2 linked regions of the Saccharomyces cerevisiae S288C genome follow. Changing the gene in region 1 together with any one later gene gives a genetic interaction. Each region holds a gene or a part of one and is shown on either strand. Other genes may lie near its edges.

The links.
Region 2: mutations in RER1 (region 1) and SEC12 together harm fitness more than expected from each alone (negative genetic interaction), as found in Saccharomyces cerevisiae (2 studies listed by BioGRID).

Annotation. Positions count from the first base shown.
Region 1 is NC_001135.5:110,033-112,999, reverse strand, and holds RER1 (protein retrieval receptor), read right to left. Parts: upstream 1,085-2,967; coding exon 518-1,084; downstream 1-517. Other genes in the region: YCL002C (uncharacterized protein), read left to right, coding at 1,325-1,366, 1,443-2,192; PGS1 (CDP-diacylglycerol--glycerol-3-phosphate 3-phosphatidyltransferase), read right to left, coding at 2,330-2,967. UniProt on the Saccharomyces cerevisiae protein: Involved in the retrieval of endoplasmic reticulum membrane proteins from the early Golgi compartment. Required for correct localization of SEC12, SEC71 and SEC63 in the endoplasmic reticulum.
Region 2 is NC_001146.8:672,742-676,422, forward strand, and holds SEC12 (Sar family guanine nucleotide exchange factor SEC12), read right to left. Parts: upstream 1,949-3,681; coding exon 533-1,948; downstream 1-532. Other genes in the region: MPP6 (Mpp6p), read left to right, coding at 1-228; putative pyridoxal kinase BUD17, read left to right, coding at 2,182-3,135; peptidylprolyl isomerase family protein CPR8, read left to right, coding at 3,436-3,681.

The DNA of each region.
Region 1 (2,967 bases):
TCCATTGAAGTCTATTGTGCCACTTAATCAAAATGCGTTCGATGATAAATTTACTAAGTTCTTTAATAACTTGGAAAACTAATACACTAAAACACATGCACGCCACGGAGTATGGACATTATAAACGTGTGAACATTTCAAACTCACAACTTGCATGACATTACTCTCTCTTTTGCATCCTTTATTCCTCGACATACCCCATTTCTCACTAATTTGGTATTAGTAATTATGCAGAAAGGTTCGAAGCTGTCAATTCTTTTTAGACATGTTTCTTGAAAGTCTTTACAAAAATTTATCAATTGGAGGCATCTCAAGCTCTCCATTTATAAATGGAAGAAAATGAGCCTCTTCCCTTCAATTTTGCTTAATCAATAACTTCATGTATTCTTCCAATATAAGAGAAGATGAGTAGAAGGAGAAAATAATCACAATTATTCTGTAACTATCATATAATTTTGTTTACATATAATTAAGATACGAATGTGTTCGTTGAATAGGTATGTGGAGTCAGGGTATATCAGTTAGAAGAATGAGAATATTTCTTCTTACCGATATCTAAGGGTATATATCTATATTTTATCATATGTTGAATCTGCCTTCTCATAGTTAAAAAAAACAATAATATGAAATACATCAATAAGATGGGCCAAAATACTGGAATATCGAAGATTGAAAATAGCGACAACAAGAGGGAAATGACAGTGGCTCTAATGCTGTTATACCAGAATTTGAACTCTGGTAATCTTCTGATGAATGGACGGAATTCTTCTGATTTTTCTCCAGCTTCCAATTCGTTGTTTTCTTCATCTTGCTGTAAGGACATATCGAATTTTGGGGTCAAAAAGGCTAAAAATTGATTCAATAAAAATAGACCTAGACCATAACAAATCACATACCAGCCTTCGGCCATTGTAATACGAACCATAAACAAACATAACAAACCACCCAATACAGCCCACCTCTCCTTAGCGTGAGGAGTGACTTTATCCAAATAGTGTTGATATAATAATTTCATTGTATTCATCTTAGTGATTAAGGGGTTACTTGAACCACCGTTCATTGTATCAGAGCTATCGTAATCCATCTTGCTTCCTTTTTTTGATACTCTATGCCTTTCGTGTAACACTTAGTCCCAAATCGAAATCGCCTTTCTTGTATCGTTATTTTTCTTATGTATAATTCGTGTTCTACTGCAGAGGCGTGTTTTGACAAGTTTTTTTTTCCTCTGCGAACGAAAAACCCACAATTTTTAACCTCATTGAGGTAAGGTTTTCCAGAGGAGAGGTTGAGGAGCCCTGCGAAGCAATTATATTGAATCATTCACATGCTTGTTATTGTTCTGCAGGGCTTGGCAGGTTTTTTATCAGTATGCATAATTGAAGGAGAAAGTATACATGAAAGGTTTGACTAACTAAGGGAGAAAACTTCCATTTCTTACATAGATCATCGCCATTCTATGTCAAAAGCGCTATAATAAACTTCATCGATCTATTTACGGGCTTTCATATGATTTATTTCTGCTAGATTTTGTTGGTAATGGTCTGTACTTGTATTGCGCGTTGCATTATTGTTATTCATCTCTGGTGAGGGAACAACTGTCTCAAAGATTCCCACTTTTTTATCCGTTGAATGATGCCCGTAGTATACCTATATCCAGTTTCCTCATTCTAAAAGATTTTTGCGTTTCCTGTTGCTGCATGATGGTTTTAAGGCAGTTATACTATTATAGGTCAACTAAACATATTTATCAGGGCATTTCCATTACTTCCATAATAATTATAAGTGTGTTCCTTGTATTAGGCATATTTACATATGGCTGTTCCATCTCTAATTTACCGTTGAAAAATTCAGGTAAATTTGGCGTTTTCTATTTGGAACACATAAATTATTTGTGGGTAATGGCAAATCTGCTTAAATGTTTCAAGTATGTGCCTCAAATGAGTATAAACTGGATGGGATGCTCAACAGTAGGTTTATCATCAAAGTTTGCATTGATATCATTTTTGGCTGAATCTATCGATTTATTAGGTAGACTGGTAATACCGACCAATGCATTGTTTTACGAGATACCATTTAATTCAACGCCCTTTTGGGTAAAATTGATACAATTTGTCACCTTATTGGTCATACTTTGTCAAGTTCAGTATGTTTACGTAGGACGGAAACCACGGTTGCCAAAAGGAAAACTATAACAAGGTCAGCTCATTCTCTACCTTAATGGCTTTGCGATGTTTGCAAATTTAAGGAGTTTTAGATAATGCATTTATTATTACTATTTTTTCTTTTATTTTTCCATATTTACAGGCGACATACTATGATAGAATAGAATCTAAAGTTTTTTACCCAAAATGGAGGTAGCTATCTTTACACCAGTGCCAACATGTCTTTCTGGGTCTGATTGAAAGTCTTCTAGAGTTACAGGTTTTGTATATTGTAATAAATTATCTAACTCTGCTTTCATTTTTTTTCTTAGCTCTTCATCTCTTGTAATAATGAGAGCATTCGATTCCAAATCTAATGAATACGCCCTTCTCGTATAGTTTGAAGATCCTATAACCGTGATAAAGGGTTTCCAATTGTTAGCATCATTTTTATCACGAGCGGAAAGCCAAATACCTTTTGCGTGATATGACCAACCATTCGGCTTATTTACTACGCCTCTTTGCCATTCTCTTAATGTAATAGCATGATCTTGTCTGTACCTACATACATCTTGTAGAAATTTTTTTGACAGGTACAAGTAAGCACCAGGTAAATTTGATGAGACGCCCTTTGATTGGTAAAAGCCGTTTGCAAAGGGGGAAGCTGTTATTACATTTGCCTCAGCAACCGGCGTTGCCAGCAGTTTTGCTTTGATGTCTGGCAAAATATTGAAGTATCCTGCAGTGAACGTCCAAGAAATGGCATTGCTTGTTATAGTGGAAAGCAATGACAATATTGTTCTTTTTTCGGTCGATTTGTCATTAT
Region 2 (3,681 bases), on another chromosome or scaffold:
AGAAAAACCTTTGGCGATAATTCTGATGATAGTGGTTCCAGGAAGAGAAAGTTTGATGAAGGCGAACAAAATGAAGACGAGAAAAGGGATGCTAAGGATAAGGAATTTACAGGGAGCCAAGACGATGGAGAGGATGAATATGACCTAGATAAATTATTTAAGGATAGCATCAAAAAGAAAAAGACCAACCATAATGGTAAAAATAAAAATAGAAATTCAAAAAAGTAGCGCAGACAATGCACCAGCAGAAGTACGTATTCGTATATAATAATGAGAACATAATATAAAGCATTGTGTAGTATTTTTTTCGTATTTGTCATAAACCATAAGGACTGCCGTCCTTTCTATTACGCTCAATTCCAAAACATATACAAAAACATGTAAATACACCACTTCTAATTTATCAGATAAATCTCTATCATCAATATCATTGAGATCGTTTTTGTATCTTTGCGTTTTTTTTCATAGCTTGAGTGTCGTCACTCTCCTTTTCGCTACTTCATTATTGCTACCTCATAACTTTCTCTCAAGCTCAAGCATCATCTATTTCTCGAAAAGTTGCGTTGGTGATCTCAAACTCTGCCCCTCCAGTATTAATAATGTTACTTTCAGTACATAAGACTTCAGTTCCATTCACAGAACTCGTCTCATGCACGCCATGCACTTTTATGGAATCTACGCTAGGTACAGATGTTTTTGTACCGTGGTTGCCAAACAAAGTTGTTTGATGTAAGTCTTCATCAACTACGTAGGGCGAAGAGATGGTGTCTCTTTTCGTTAGAAAATTGTCCTTCGCGTAATTGAAAAGCATGGAATGCAAATTGTGCTTATAGGAGAACTGTAAAATGTAAGAAAGCAGCACAATAAGGATGAAGTTGGTGAAAAATTTAGAGATTTTTTGTTTCATTGAGGTGTAGTTGGCGTAGTTAAGCGGTAATTTTATTATGTGGATAGTGTTGGCTGCCGAAACACTCGCCACATATGTAGAGTCCGGAGAGATAGTGACCTCTGTAATGGCAAAACTATGAGCTTGTTTGAATATTTTAGACATTGACAGGTCTTTTAGTTTCACAAGAGCTATGGAATTGTCATTACTTGCCAGTACCGCCAATTCACCCTTCATGTCGACATCCATAGAAGTAATCCCTTTGAATCTGTTTGTCACTTGTTTGGATCTTAATACGGAAGTGTTTCCTGATTTGATGCTTATTTTGGTCAGCACAATACCTTTCCCTTTTTTTAAAGAGGCTGCTATCAATACTGTGTCATCGGCTATGAAGTTTATTTTAGATAAACTCCAATTCTTATCAAAATCTGTTTTCCTAGCAATGCAACTTCCAGTCACTGTTGAAATCACTTCCAAGCTAGAACCGGTGATATAAGCAACAACCTTACCATCAGTGGAAAAGTGTAAATCCTTTACTTCACCCCTAGTCTCGATCTCAAACTTCTCTGTCAAGTCGCTCGGGTCAATGATTCTCATTATAGCAGGTACTTTAGATGATGCGATAGCTGCAACGGTACCTTCTCGTGAAATATAAACCAGCTTCGTGTAGTCATCCGCATTTGTAGATGCGTCAAAGTCTACACTAGTGAGGAACTCCAATTGATCATTCACTTTATCGTATTTAAATTTTCTCAAGTGCTTATTACCTTTACCTTGGGTAATCTTAGTGCTATTTTCATTGCAGCCAACCAAAATGATACCCTTGGAAGCGTCAATTGCAGTAGGAGAGTCGTCGTTGTCTTCCAATGCAAACTCGCTCAATATATGAAACTGTTCCTTCTCAGTATCTTTGGTAGGATCCACGCGCAAGACCGTCAGCTTGTTTGGTATGCCATTGTTTCCTTCTCCTCCACCGCCTGCCACAAGTAATGTGTCGTTATTCAAAAATTTTGCACCGTACGCAGGATACCCGACGTTATAACTAGCTGTCACGAACTTCATAGTGGCTCGATTGTATCTCAACCTTGTTATATATCTGTATTTCTATCACGTATCCTTCTAGGTTTCTGTACACGTTTTTGAATTTTTTGGATTTTTTTTTTTTCAACTTTTCTTTTTTCCCTCATTCTTACTCTATTGTCATCACCATTCAAGATAAAGATAATAACTAGCTTTGAGAAATTAGACCAGACGCAGTGGAAGGTTGAATACATGCCTGTGTGAGGGTGGTGCCAATGACCAGTACATTACATACGACAAAAAAAGTGCTCTCCATTCAATCACACGTCATACATGGCTACGTGGGAAACAAGGCCGCTACGTTCCCACTTCAATACAGAGGTTGGGATGTGGACGTATTGAACACAGTTCAGTTTTCTAACCACTCGGGGTACGCCCACTTCACAGGCTTCAAATGCAGCACTGAGGAGTTGGTAGACATTGTAGAGAAGGGCTTGATTGGGTCTCTTAGAATCAAGTATGATGCCGTACTTAGTGGCTATTTACCCAATGTTCAAGCCCTGCAAAAGGTAGCAGGAATAGTGGGTCAATTATGTGAGGGGAGTGAAAACGTCAAGTGGATATTAGATCCTGTACTGGGCGATAATGGAAGGCTGTACGTGGATCGAGAATGTGTTGCGGTATACCAAGACATTTTACAAAACTTCAAAATTTTTTTGGCCACACCAAATCAGTTTGAAATGGAACTGTTGGTGGGGATGTCAATTCGTACCTTAGACGACGCTAAGCAGGCATTTAAACTATTTCATAAAAAGTACCCTCGAGTAAGCCGAATAGTTGTCACTAGTCTGGAATTATCTGAATTCCTGAGCAACGACACTTACGTAGTAGCAGGGTTTGATTGCTCGGCCAGTGAAGAGATATTCTTCTATGAAATCCCCAAGATCAACGCAAAATTTAGTGGAAGTGGTGATTTAATCAGCGCCATGCTCACTGACTCGTTACTAGGCGACCGCCGCTGCACACAGCTGTCATTAAGCGCATCCTTGGGCCAAGTGCTGTGGCTCGTCACCAGTATCCTACAAAAAACGTATGATTTAAACATAGCTGAGCGGGGCCCACAAGATTCCACGATAGATATCAAGGATTTAAAGCTGATTCAGTGTAGAGACATCCTAAAGCAAGATCTCATACCCTCCATTGGCAAGCCAAAAACCATTAAAATATGATTCTTACGAAACGGTATGCTCCTTCCTCATTGGGGTGCGGCTGCTGCAGGAACCTGCCTAAATAGGAAAATACATTCCTGATTTGGAAACTGTAGGCACACGACGCGTCCCTTTGGAGAAGATCGATCCTTCTTTGGGTCTTTCAATTTGATTGGAAAAAAAATATTTAAAAAAATAGAAGAAAAATATAGAATATATAGAATATATAGAATCAACTACTGCAGTAGATAAATAAAGAAGACTATTCATATTCAGTATCACAATTGAAAGATTATTACAATTTGTATACATTGGTTCCCAATGAAGAGCTTTTTTCTTTATCTTTATGTGGCATTCATGTTTAGTTGCATAACGGCTCTGCCATTACCTGTGGATAACAAAAGGGCTTCTTCAGACTCCTTAGACCTAAAGAAAAAATACGCACCAGACCCTCCTATTACACATAATGTAAACATCGGAATTGTTTTCACAGATCCTGAAAGTTCGGAAGAAGCCGGCCGTCTCATAACAATAGACTTATACGGGACTATGGTGCCCAAGACAGTA